Drosophila melanogaster: one gene and its partners. The protein of the gene in region 2 interacts with the protein of the main gene of each other region in a pairwise test. Each region holds a gene or a part of one and is shown on either strand. Other genes may lie near its edges.

The links.
Region 1: the proteins of Stam (region 2) and Pkc98E interact in a two-hybrid assay, tested with the Drosophila melanogaster proteins (one large-scale study listed by BioGRID).
Region 3: the proteins of Stam (region 2) and CG11286 interact in a two-hybrid assay, tested with the Drosophila melanogaster proteins (one large-scale study listed by BioGRID).

What each region holds. Positions count from the first base shown.
Region 1 is NT_033777.3:29,037,304-29,042,173, reverse strand, and holds the start of Pkc98E (protein C kinase 98E), read right to left. Parts: upstream 3,019-4,870; 5' UTR 2,810-3,018; intron 2,345-2,809; exon of another isoform or gene 2,102-2,344; intron 1,079-2,101; 5' UTR 903-1,078; coding exon 749-902; intron 575-748; coding exon 381-574; intron 308-380; coding exon 250-307; intron 185-249; coding exon 72-184; intron 8-71; coding exon 1-7. Other genes in the region: Slu7, read left to right, coding at 3,184-3,784, 3,848-4,076, 4,133-4,316, 4,381-4,870. UniProt on the Drosophila melanogaster protein: PKC is activated by diacylglycerol which in turn phosphorylates a range of cellular proteins. PKC also serves as the receptor for phorbol esters, a class of tumor promoters.
Region 2 is NT_033779.5:10,856,582-10,862,566, forward strand, and holds Stam (signal transducing adaptor molecule), read left to right. Parts: upstream 1-1,954; 5' UTR 1,955-2,253; coding exon 2,254-2,296; intron 2,297-2,788; coding exon 2,789-3,066; intron 3,067-3,125; coding exon 3,126-4,329; intron 4,330-4,395; coding exon 4,396-4,940; 3' UTR 4,941-5,425; downstream 5,426-5,985. Other genes in the region: aurB (aurora B), read right to left, coding at 292-429, 490-1,207, 1,263-1,396.
Region 3 is NT_033777.3:7,770,342-7,773,486, reverse strand, and holds CG11286 (uncharacterized protein), read left to right. Parts: upstream 1-1,730; 5' UTR 1,731-1,786; coding exon 1,787-2,094; coding exon of another isoform or gene 2,095-2,095; exon of another isoform or gene 2,096-2,153; coding exon 2,154-2,276; intron 2,277-2,335; coding exon 2,336-2,480; 3' UTR 2,481-2,627; downstream 2,628-3,145.

The DNA.
Region 1 (4,870 bases), on a different chromosome or scaffold from region 2:
CATTCACCTGGTTTCAAGCAAAGGAAACATATTAGTTACGCTCATTCTCAACTGGTTAAATGGGCACCAACCTGATGGACCCGACGACGCATGGCACCGCGACGTCGGTTGAATCCGGCGCGCTCTTTGAACTCCTTGTTGACGGCCACGGTGTGCTCCACCACGGCCTCGGCTTTGGCTTTATCTGAAATCAGATGGAATTGATCAGCATTCGCTGAACATTGTTCAAATCTTTATTTCGCTACGTACCCGTGCGATTCTTTAGCTCAATGATGACGTGAATCTTGCCTTGCGGCTCCAAGTTAACCTGAGAGGTTTCAAGAAGTAAAAGTAAGTATAAGTATTCCTAGAGATTTAGCTACTATATGTTCGAAACCCACCCATAGATCCTGCACAGCCGTCTCGCTCTGCATGAGGTCCTCGAAGGAGATGATGCAGTTGGCCACAAAGTCATCCGGCGGCAGAGCAGCATCATGAAAGACGGTCAAGTTGATGTTGCTCACATTGGTCACGTCGTGGACGAACTGCTCGTTCCAAACAGGATCGAATGTCTTTGGCCGCGTGGTGGCTCGATCTGTGCGTAACAAAATAACCAGATAATGAAATAATAAATAAAGTTAGCTGCCAAATCCCATTTAAGTATGCAACACTTTAGCTAGGTAACTAACATTTGTAACTATCTAACTGACTTTTGTTTCCCAACCATATTTGAATATTTGAGCTGAAATCGAAGTGGGAGGACACTCACCGAAGTGACTCTCGTCGACATCTATGGAGACATAGGGGTCGATGAGCTGCTCGTCGGCCAGTTTGCCGAAGGTGAGATTGTGGCGCTTCTGGAAGTCTGTGGGCCGCAGGCCACTCGCCTCGCACACCTTGATCTGCAGCTTGCCCGTGAACATGGTCGTGCGATCGGTGAATGTCCCGTTCGGCTGCACTAGATCCTATTGCTGGTCGTGATCCTGTTCGTGATCCGGCTGCTCCTCGGTCCTCCGTGCGATGTCCTTGCGTGTCTGTTTGGGGAGCAGCGGTGGACCACTCGGCTTGTGGTGGTGTGCGGCTGGCTGATGATCCTGATCTGCAATCGGAGGAAGAGCAATTCGGGATGGGTTAATCAATCGCCTGACTGCCATTCGCATCTTTCGCTGTGGGCCAATGTTGGCGTAGGTCATTGACACTCGTGAATGGCGTATGCGGTATACTCGATTCACTCCCAAGGTCGATTAAGCCTCGCATCGATGGAATTTGTGCACACACATATCTACGCCCACAGTAGCGGTCAAAATAGTAATGACATGTTAAAGGAATTTGCACCATATATATTTATTTATTTCCTTAACGATGCGTATTAACTATTATATAGCATTTATTAAAAAAATTCAAATGTGATGTATATTCAGATAATAATATTAATAATTTCGCTACTATGATTCAGTATGTTACTGACTTATTCTGGGTTTAATTGAAAGGATTCATGATTCACAGAAAAAAATGTACATTCATTTTTGCAAAACGAAAATCTGTAGCTTACAAAAATATCAATTCTTTTCATCTTTTACTATTCAACACTACTATTTTGGCTGCCACTGTGTTTCAGCCCGTTTGTGTGTGTACATTAGGCAATCGCTCAAACGACAACAGTCCGTGGAACAAAAGTCGAAAATAGTGCGCGACCATCATCTGCTATGGTAATATTTCTAGCGTATAAATCATTCCAAGGAGTGCAACTTTGTTTATTTCGCAATTCCACAGATTGTTGTTTAGTGTACACTAGTCTCGCCACTAGTCTAATGCGCATCCAATTGGGATATAACGCGTTTTCTAATTGGCAATTTGGTGGGAACAAGTACATACTTAGTTGCCCTTTTTCTTCGCACACAATCTTGGGTACTTTCAGTGTCGTTTAGCTTTGATTACATATGTATATTGCCATTGCTTGCTCACTTTTTTATGCAAATTCTTTGTGTTCATGTATGGCAAATATACTCACACTTTCACACACACATACACACGCAGTCAGCTTTTTTCCACAGATTAAACAACAAAGAGAGAACAACAAGAATTTCTAATGATGCCTCTCACTTGCACTTCTGCCACCCACCAATACACGCGCGTCTCACGCCCACTCCAATTGGAAACACCTGACGAAACGCCAATAAGTGCGCTCAATTAACTAAACTAACCCGTCCAATTGGAAAATTTGTAATTTTCTAATTGGTGAAAACGAAGGTCTTCCAGCTGGCAGAGTTGCCGTACTGTCCACCTGTCAGCTTGACACTAACGAACGCAGTGTTGGTAAACATACGAAATGCGCACTATGTTCGTAGTTCAAATATTATATTTCATTGTTTTTTAAATTGTATGCTAACCACTCCGCTTGGCTATGAGATACACGTTTCGCTGACATTTTTCGCTTCACAATCAAGCACCACACACGGAGTAATATTTAGAAAGTCCCATCGATGGATTTTATATACATATACCACTCTCTTATTTTCTTGCTCTCTCTACTGTTGGTATATAGAAAATGTTTAACGTTTCAAATGAAAAGTTATTGAAACGCTTCCTTACAATGTTTATGTGAAATGGGTATGCACGACACCAAATAGGCAGAAAATATTGCAATCAACAATGAAACAAAAAGAATAAAATAATTCATATGCGCGCGCAGGAACTTGTATATCAGAGAAAAAGTGTTCAGCTATGTGTGCGAAAAAATTAAGGATGCCTTCACACTAGAGCACACACACACACACGCTCGACATATGTATGCGCTTATACACACACGCACGCACACAGTTAAACGCACCCGTTTGCACAGCGTTATAAATTTATTGGTTTTCCCAGGCAATTTCCTTGGTTTTCCAACGAATTCGAACAGTTTCACAAAATCACAGTGTCCACCATTTTCCGTTGCATTGCTGGGTAGTTTTCTTATTGGCTTTAAAACTGTTTCGCGTATTACTATTGATAAAAATGTTCACTTCACTCCAATTCTTATTGGAAAAACGTTAGCGATGTGCCAAGGTGGGCGATACATATCGTGGGGGTGCTACAGATTGTCCAACACTTTCGCTGTTAAGCCAAGTGCTTCTCTGCTTGCCAACACTTTTCGATAACCGATAACATAAAAGAGAAATAAATATTACAACTAATATTATCTAGTAAATAAAATCAGGCAATATGAGCTCGGGGCCCATGCGCACGCCGGTCTCGCAGATCATTCTGAGCAAGCACGACCAGGATGCCGAGGAGGAACCCAAGAAGAAGTCCCGTGAGGACTGGCGCAAGGCCAAGGAGCTGGAGGAGGCTCGAAAAGCGGGAACAGCTCCGGCCGCCGTCGACGAGGAGGGTCGCGACATAAATCCCCACATTCCGCAGTACATATCGAATGCACCATGGTATTACGGATCGGCTGGGCCCACTCTCAAGCATCAGCGACCGCAGCACGAGGACGAGCAAGGACAGCTGGACAAGAGGGCGCCCAAAGGACTTAACACCGCACGCATCATTACCAAGTTCCGCAAGGGAGCCTGCGAGAACTGTGGCGCCGTCACACACAAACGAAAGGACTGCCTGGAGCGGCCGCGGAAAGTCCAAGCCAAGTACGCTGAATCCATCGTCGTGCACGACGAGCATTTGGTCAATGAAGCGGCGGTGAACTATGACGAGAAACGAGATCGCTGGAGTAGTTACGATCCGGCCAATCACAGAGAGATCATTGAGGAGTACGAAAAGGTGGAAGAGGCCAAGCGACAACTTAAAGCAGAGAAGCTGAAAAATGGTAGGTAAAAGTGAATTCAGAGTGCTTATAGTTGAATTAATATCATTCGCATGTACCCCTTAGATCCCGATGCTGAAATATCCGATGAGGAAGGCAACGAGGACAAATATGTGGACGAAGTGGACATGCCCGGCACAAAAGTGGACTCCAAACAGCGAATTACAGTGCGCAACTTGCGTATCCGCGAGGATACGGCGAAGTACCTGAGGAACTTGGATCCCAACTCGGCCTACTATGATCCCAAGACGCGCTCCATGCGTGACAATCCCAATCCTGCTGTCCCCGAAGAGGAGTGAGTAACAAAAAGTTGCACATATAAAGAAATTTCTTAACTACTCATTCTTGCAGAGCTGAGTTTGCTGGCGAGAACTTTGTACGCTTTTCTGGAGACACTACAGCCCAAGCCACCGCCCAGTTGTTTGCCTGGGAAGCTCATGGCAAGGGGGTTGATGTGCATCTGCTAGCGGAGCCCACTAAGTTGGAGCTGCTTCAGAAGGAGTACGAGCAGAAGAAGGAACAGTTCAAGTCAAGTGTAAGTAATTGAAAATGGAAATTTCTTGGAAACATTACTATATCCATTTCCTTTATTTTTCCAGACCAAAACACACATTGTGGAGAAATATGGTGGCGAAGAGCATCTACAGGTTCCACCAAAGTCGCTATTGCTGGCGCAGACCGAGGAGTACATCGAGTACTCTCGCAGCGGCAAGGTTATCAAGGGCGTGGAGAAACCGAAAGCGCGCAGTATCTACGAGGAGGATGTGTATATCAACAATCACACAACAGTTTGGGGCAGTTTCTGGAACGCCGGACGCTGGGGTTACAAGTGCTGCAAGTCCTTCATCAAGAACTCCTACTGCGTGGGCATGCAGGAGCCAGAGGGCTACTCGGAACATCATTCTACGAGCTCCACTGCAGCGGCTACTACAGAACCTGCAGCTCAAAGCCAATTCAAGGTACCAGAAGTGCCACCTGAAAGGCCCACTTCCGAAGTGGACTCAGCATCGAGTTCGGAACCCTCCTCATCCGAAGAGGAGGAGGTAAAACCTGAGAAGAAGAAGACCAAGAAGAAGTCGAAGAAGCGCG
Region 2 (5,985 bases):
CGCTTGAAATTGTCATTTATTTATTTAGGGTGACCGTTTGCGGGAAGCGCGAAAATATAGCATGGCCCACGAACTGGAACTAAGTAAGGCATGGGCTTAGAAAAATTAATTTAAAAGGGGTTAAATTAGAAAAAGGTAATTTAAGTAAGTTACTACCAATAGATTTTTATTTTTAAGCAGTTTTCAGATTTCAAAAATATACTCCAAACTTCATTAAATCTTATAAACCGTTTATTAAACATAAAAGTAAAATCTGAAATAAGTCGTTACACAATGCAAACTCGAAACCAGTCAATTTCTGGCCGTGTTCTCCTTGCCGCGCTCCCGTTTCTGCAGCTGCAGCTCCCTTTCGGCCATTCCCGCCTTCACCCAATAATGGGTCATCACATCCACCAAGGTGATGCGGCCCTTGCTTTCCTTGCGAAGCAGCTGCAAAGATGAAATCCCTGTTCAATAAATGGATCTCAAAGGAAACATCTTCCAACTCACCCCGCCAATCAATTCCTTGCAGCCCTTGGACAAATGCGATGGGTAGGAGATCTCCATGCGCCGGATCTTGCTGTAGGTGCTCTCCGTGCTGTTCGACTCGAAGGGCGGACAGCCGACGACGAACTCGTAGCACAGAATGCCCAGGCACCACTGGTCCACCGAGTCGTCGTAGGAGTTCCCATCCACCATCTCCGGCGGCAGATAGTCCAGGGTGCCGCACAGAGTCCTGCGCTTGTTGTTCGGCGTGTGCGCCGACCAACCAAAGTCGGCCAGCTTAAGGTCGTCCGTGCTGGTTAGCAGAATGTTCTCCGGCTTCAGATCCCGATGGATCACGTTGTTCAGGTGACAGTAGTTGAGGGCATTCGCCACTTGGTAGGTGTACTTCGCAGACCGCGGTTCATCGAATCGATGATTGGGTGCGCCACGCAGGTGCTTGAACAGCTCGCCCTCGGACGCAATTTCCAGGGCCAGATAGATGCGGCTCTCGTCGTGGAACCAAGTGAGCAGGCGCAGGATGTGCGGGTGCTTCAGTCGCGACTGGATCTCGATCTCGCGTAGAACCTGACGCTGCACGCAGCCCTTGCGCAGCTCCTCTTTGAACATCACCTTCATGGCCACCAGATAGTGCGAGTGGCGCTCCCGCGCCAAGTAGACACGTCCAAATTTGCCGCGTCCCAAGTGGGCGCCCATCTCAAAGTCCCGGGGACTCCAATCGTATCTGGAGGGAGCAGATTAAGTACGGATTGATACATTAGCTTATTGCTTGTACGTACGGCTGTCCGTATGCGTCGTGGGACATCATCTTGAGGCACATATTCTTGATCGGCTCCTGGTGCTCCTCGGGCACCTTGGCCAGCAGGTGCGGCAGGTGGTTGCGGTTGGCGTGCTTCGCGCGGGAAAGCGTCATGGCGCTGACTTGTTTATAATATTATGATTTTTAAGTAAATTAATTATTTTAAGTTGTATTTTCTATAAGCGTCCCTTTTGTTTGCGCGTTTTTTTCGAATGCTGAGATTAGTGTGACCGCATGCTAGAATCGAGTTATTCTGTGACTCTCAGTGAAGCAGTTAAGTCACTGTATTTTTAAATTCGGTCAACGTATAATAAAATATTTTCATGTTTCTTAAATAAAAATTAATCTTCTAGTTTTGTTCTTATATTGTGCATAGTTATTATAATATACGCTTCTCACCCGTAGGAGAATAGTTTGAGTGAAGGGCATAGAAAACTGTTTAATTATTATAAACCATAGCTACCAGTGCTCAAATCATATCAGATGTTTAATAGATTTATATTATTAGTTGTCTAAATTTATTTAAATATACAATATCAATAATATTTATATGTATATATAAATAAAAATGTTTTGCATAATATAAGTCTCGAATACCTCTAACTAACCATTGAAAATGAGCTGCAAAAAATCCTTTGGATTTCCCGACTATTCGCAATCTGGCCACACTCGCCATTAGTCATTTTTTACACAATAAACGTAAATTAAGCGAATTTGCAAGCGCTATTCGGAAGTTTTTAGGCTAATCGAAAAGATATAAGCAGCCCAAAAGAGATTTGGAAAAAAGCGAAAAGGTCTACGCAGGAGGAAGTACACCAAAAGCGTGCTTTCAGTCGCCGTGACGCACCGAAAATCGATTGGAGAGGAAAAACAATAGGGAAAACAGACAAAGATCAACTGATTTGGATTTATTGACCCCAGGGCAGCGCAGATTATTGGCAGATAGCCGAGCGAGCGGTTTGGTCATAAAGATGGGAATCTTTGGGCAGTCGTCGCCATTCGACGCCGACGTGGGTGAGTTACCACTTATCGTTAAGCTGTTGTGTTGGCCGATTGGACAAGCCGATGTTCCAATTGGACTGCACAACGGTCCAATATGCGTTTCATAGTTTTCTATTCTTATCTGGGGTCTAAAAACCCGCACACCACACCATTTTCCCCTGTTTTCCCTATGAACCCGATCCCCCGATTGAGCAGACAACAAAGAAAGTCATGTGAGATGCTGTGCGCAGCTCTGCGTCGTTCGTTGAACTTCTTATTGGAGTTGTTAGATGGCAGTCGCTGACCTTGAGTGACGTAGCACCCGCAGCCCCTCACACCCCCTCCGTTTACGCAGCCAACCCCCTCGCCATCCCTTAATGCAATTTAGTTAGTTTCCGATTGTATTGATTTTCTTTAGCTGCAATCAGTTTTCGAAGAAGCTTATCTTTGTTTTGCTGTGACTCAGAATATAAATTTCTATTTGACTGATAAGCTAATGCGGTTCATGCCTTTCTTGTTTTATAGAAAAGGCCACCAGCGAAACTAATACCAACGACAACTGGTCTCTGATTTTGGATGTATGCGACAAGGTAACGACCAATCCCCGCCTGGCCAAGGATTGCCTGAAGGCGGTGATGCGCCGCATGGGCCACACCGATCCTCATGTGGTGATGCAGGCGATTACGCTTTTGGACGCCCTGTCCAACAACTGCGGAAAACCGCTCCATTTGGAGGTGGCTTCACGGGATTTCGAGACGGAGTTCCGCCGCCTGTTGGCCAAAGCACAGCCAAAGGTTTCACTGGTGAGTACAAACAGTTTTAACTCACTTATTTCATTTCTAATTCCAATTATGATTCACAGAAAATGCGCCAAGTGCTGAAGAACTGGGCTGAAAACGACTATAAGAACGATCGAGAGCTCGACTTGATACCCGCACTCTATGCCAAGCTGCGCCAAGAGGGATATGATTTCAAGAATCTTGGCGATAAGACTAGCAAGACTGTTGCCGAAAAGGCCGCCGCCCTGCCCAAAGATCCGAATGTGGTCAGCAGCCAGCAGGAAGAGGATGACATCGCCAAGGCCATCGAATTGTCGCTGAAGGAGAACAAGGGCAGTCCAAAGACTGGGAGTGTAGCAAGTACCGGCACCGCCAGTGCCTATCCCTCATTGTATCCATCTTTCGCTGGAACCGGCTCGAGTGCACCGAGCGCCGAAGCCAGTTCCGCACCAGCGCCAGAGCCGAGAAAGGTTCGAGCTCTGTACGATTTCGAAGCTGCCGAGGAAAACGAATTGACCTTCTTTGCCGGCGAGATCATTCATGTGCTGGATGATAGTGATCCAAACTGGTGGAAGGGATACAATCAACGCGGCGAGGGTCTCTTCCCCTCGAACTTTGTCACTGCCGATCTGTCCGTCGATCCCGAGCGGCTGGACATCAATCAGCAGCATAAGTCGGCCGCCGCAGCCGGGCAACGAGAGTTGGATTCCGCTGCGGCACTGCAGCAAAAGACTGAAGCGGCAGCAGCTGCCGCCGCAGCTCAGCCTGTGGAGATCGACGAGTCAAAGATCGACCGGCTGCTGCATTTGCTGCACGAGGCGAATCCCGAAGATCCCTCGCAGGACAGCGACGAAATGCTGCAGCTGGAGCAGGAGGTCCATCAGATGGGACCGCTGATCGATGCCGAGCTGGAACGCGTCGACCGCAAGCACGCTCAACTGACGCAGTTGTCCAGCGACCTCGTCGACGCCATTAATCTGTACCATACCTTGATGCGGGATGACCGTGCTGCGGCTGGACATTTTGCCGCCGCTGCTGGCGGCTTTATGCCTGGACTTGCTGGTTTCCCGGGTGCCGCTCTGTACGGTGCTCCAGGTTATCCTGCAGCGGGTGGATTCCCACCGGCCCAAAATTATCCGGGCATGCACTCGATGCCATATGGCCCCGTACCAAATCCTCCCACTTCTGCTCCATCTCAGGCACCTGGAGCTCCTGGTGGCTATCTGGGTCAACCGCAGGGGCAGGTGCCACTGCCCTATCAGAACGGACATGCCGCACAGATGAACTGTTAGTACAAAGGATTAAAATACTTATTATATTTACCTATAATAACATTTTCAATCGTCTTTCCAGCGCTGCCAGCCCATTTGACTCAACCCACTGGCACTGCACCCATGCCCCAGCCAATCTACACTCAGCCGACTCCCGTGACCACCCAACAGCAGCAGCAGCCACTTCCACAGCACCCTCAACAGCCGCCACAGCAGCAAGGCCAGCAGCCCCCACAGCATCCCCAGAACAGCTACCACATCGACCCCCAGTCACAGTACGCCCAAGTTCCGCCCGCAGTCACACAAATCCAGCAGCCGCAGCAGCCACCGGCTCCGCACGCTTACATGTCGCCGCAGCATCAGCAGGCACCGCCACCACAGGGATACCAGCCAGGACCAAATCTTTATGGACCGAACGGATCGCCGGCCGTCGTCAACCCGCAGAGCTACATGTCCCCACAGCAGCAGCAGCAACAACACCCACCACCACACGATCAGTTTAGTCAGCTGCATCAGCAGATGGCCGCCATGTCCATGGCTGGCGGACCGCCAGTTGGGGCGCCCGGCTATCACATGCAGAACGATGCTGTCAAGAACAACATTCCTATCTACCAGCAGCAGCGGTAAGACCGCTGCACTAAAACAGAGACCTTCACTTGGTTCGCTTTGAATTGCCCGAGCAACTTTAAGCTTTGTCTTCATTCTGACAAAAGGATGTCATCGAGTATGTTAGTTTTGGCCAACTTGCCGAGAAACGGAAGTTGTCAAATCTCTGCTATGTACATTTTGAGAAGAGCAATTGTCAGTGAACCAAATATGTCGACTATCCTTTAAAATAACGAAAGAAGCCAAATTAATATCAAGTATACCCTTACGAGTTTTCGTTTTTTGTGTTTATATTTGGTCCAACGAAATGATATATTTTTCTGGAAGTAAGGCAATACCAGTCGAAAAAGATATATATACCATATAAATAATCTGTATTCAACAGCACGTATAACTTTGTATTTAGTGCAGGGGAGATAACTATTATGTATTATGTTTATTGTACGGATTATGATAAATCTAACGAAACGAATCACATTCATTAAAATCATAAAAATATACTAAGTAAACACAATGTCTTTGAAAATTGCAAGTCAAAAGCTTACGGCTACCCTTCTCAAATATTTTCAGCACTAGCAATCGATGTGGAATAATTTTCAAGAAAATTTTGGAAATCAGATGAAGTTTTTAGAAATTTTTTTAGTGATAAAGAAAGCAGATTATTTGTTTATTTCTCACTTGAATTGTTTGTTTATTTTTATGATATTTATTTAAATTTTCTTATCGATGCTATAAAACATGAAGGTAAAATTCTTTATGTAGGCTTCAGAAAGAGTAATCTGCATTGCTTTATAAACTGAAACAATTCAGCACGAGTTTTGGATTCGCACCCCTTTTAAACTTAACATGCTTAGAGCTCCATTCAACTGCGCTCATCCCCTTTTCGGAGAATACCTCCCTCCGCTCGTGTTAGTGCGCTTTTCCGATGAGATTCCAATATATTCAGACAAGCTTTGCCACATGCCACTGTCTCGCAATCCGGCAAACATGCAACAATTTAGCAAAATTCCATCCGGCATTCGGTGGCACAAATATCCTGTGAAATAAACTGTCAAAACGGGGCAGA
Region 3 (3,145 bases), on a different chromosome or scaffold from region 2:
AAATCAATTTTCATGTCTGGTTCAATGTCATTTCGAAGTGGCGTACAATTACACCCGTAATCCCCTAGCATATGGCAGTAAATCTTGTTGTTTACACTCTCGTTGACCATCGACCATTGTCAATGTTTATTGTTTATTGTTTAACGCTTTTTCTGAATGACGTTTATATTTATATTTATATTAATATTATCAATGGCGGTGAACACATTCTATTAAATGAAATCCGCTATCTTTAAATGCAGTTTGTGGGAATTAGTAGCAGATTGTGTTAGTTTGTGTGCCCAGATTTGACCAACCACTCTGTTATTTGGCCATTTCCCCATTGGCAGATTGAGTTTGCATTTAATACCTTATACGTGATCCATCTGGTAATTAATGTCCCTCGTAGGCCGGTCGGTGAAATAAATTGGATTTGTTGTTAACATTTTAGTCACTGTTTTGTCATTACGCGCTGTGGGAAAGCTGCTGTCAATTTTGTGGCGACCAAAATGACGGTTGGCCAAAAGGCCAAGGGAAAACATCCACAAATTGATGAGATGAGCACTTTAAAGGGAAGTCGACCTGTCTCGGCATTAATAATCCCAGTGCGTGATCAAACTTCAGTCAGCCAATTGCTGGCTACTTATGCCCATAAATAGTTCATTGCATTTCCATTAGGCACTTTGCGGCAATCCGGACGACTGTTCGTTGACCTAATGCGAGCAATTCATTATCTGCAATTAGAGTTCAATTCACAGGCTCTGCCTGGCCAAAGTTCAAGGATCGGCTAGGCCGGCCTCTTGAGGCCATAACACATCATTAATGGTCTCTGCGGCCGGTTGCCAAAGAAAAGTGTAACAATAATGGGCTCGTTTGTTTTCATTGCACACGTGCCGGAGCCCCGACTTTGGTCAAATGTGCTCTTAATAGACCCAGCGTTTTGGGCCATGTTTTTGCTGTGCAAACATTGGCCAACTCTCCTGTCGGCGGCAGCTCCTATTCCCCCTTCAGTGGGCCACTCTTGTGGTCCGGCTGATGGCTCTGTTCCGTCAACTCGGGCGGTTCAAAAAATGAAATTAAATGCGCGAATGCATGTTTAATGGCGCGAAAATGTGTGGAATCTTTTTGAGAATAATTTTCGACCACACCTGGATAATGGGTGCAAATGTGGGTAGATTAGCAGTCGCACTACTCCTCATAGATTATTAGGAGGGACCATTATTAAGGGTACAAATAAGTCAATGAAAGTTCGAACAGGGCCCTGTTAGTTTTTCATTTTTTTAGGGACATCATAATTACAAAGGCTATCCAATCGCATTGAGAACTTTCGAGTTCGCAACTCTATTTCGGGCTCACTTGCAAAGTTTTTTTTACAATGGATATCCTTTAGCATAATTGCATGCATATTGCCTGCAATAATTGCATGTGATATTATTACAGAGATTCCTTTTTTGGTTTTTATTCCACGCCACTTTGAACCAGCCTGATTGTTGAATTAAAAAATTAATGAATGATTTTTGAAATGCCAATGTGAATGGCCGTGTAAATAAAATACAGCAGCCTGACCCCTTTCCATATATCGTCTGATGAATCCTCATGATGTTCTCGGCTGTTTCCATGTATATTTATAAACACCAGCGGCTTAAAACAATAATTCCCCAAGGACTCAGATGTTGTTGACGGTGACAACTATGTGGCGTATTTATTAAAGCGTTAATTGTCGAATCAAAGTAGTCACCGCATAAATAAGCCATTTAATATATCTCAAAAATCTCCAGTTTCCCAAGAGCAGTATCAAATTTTCAACATGTCCGCGACGAGCCTTGTAACCATTAAGTCGATCCCCTCAGCGGGAGATGTCCTGCGGGGTAAAAATGTACCAGTTCACCGCCTCAACGCGAAGTTTGTGGCCAAGGCCCAGGAGAAGGCTAAGAAAGTGGAGGAATTCCTGACTAGGACGAAGACCACTTCGTTGGTTTCCTTGTCAGGACTTGCTTCCCGATATGAGTTCCATCGTCTCCAGGAGCTCGACGAGTGGTATGAGCCAAGGATCAAGTTCCACGACGAGGCCGATGCCAGTTTGCATCCCAGCTACGATATAAAGCACTTTCAGTAGTCAGTTAAGAAAGAACTTGCTGAGTTACTTAGGTTTCCTGACACACCATTATTTCCAGCGATCTTAATTGCTATGTGCGGTATCTGGACTCCAAAGCGAAATATGATAGGCAGTTCCTTCACGAAATGGAGCACATTATTGCCAATCAACGCAATATCTGCGACCAGTTTTTCCTGAAGAAGTAAGCTAAAAGTTAGAAATGATAACATAAATTAACCGGGACTTTCGTGGCTTTTCTAGAATCCTGTGCTATAAAACAATGTGGCCCCCACTGCATACAAAGAGGGAACTGAATAACTTTGTCTCAAAATTCTTTCAACTGCCTCCTAAGGAAAAACGTCGCGTCGAGTATCTGTTGAAAACGGATTTAAGTCTGGGTTGCTAAAACTGATCCAATTGCAAAGTAAATGAGCCTTTTTATTCCACTTGGAAATGGTTTAATTAGCTCATTTAATTTTGCAATTATTCTCTGCAAAACTGATAAAATTACCTTATGGAAAATTGTACAGCCAATAAATTTAATTATGCAATTAAAGCCTTTTTTATAATTTCGCTGCAAAGTTAGTGAGCTAACAAATTGGATGGCTGGCGTAAGAACTGTAAGAAAATGTATTTTATGATTACTTGTTAAATTTTAATAGGATCTCGTTTACAAAAAGGTTAGTCAATCGGACAGCAACTAAATAGTTTTGAATAAAATCCGCATTTGTTTAATTATTCCACTAAATTACATTTAAACAAACTGCCGTTTGTGCATATTAAATATTTGAGCTGCGCTCATAAATAAATTCAAACAATGAATTATTATATTGTTAAACTGTGTAACTATGTGAGCAGATTCATGTTTAAAAGCAATGCAATTGTTTCGACCTCTTTTTACAAGTTACCGATAAGGGATAAATGTGTGCGTGTGTGATTGTATGCGTTTGTGATTGTGTGCGTTGACAGGAAGTGCGTCATTTGTCAAATGCTATTTTATGACCATTTTTTAGCCGTTCAGTCGAGTTTTGTTTGCACCGTGTATACACCTGAAAAAGAGCAAATTTACAA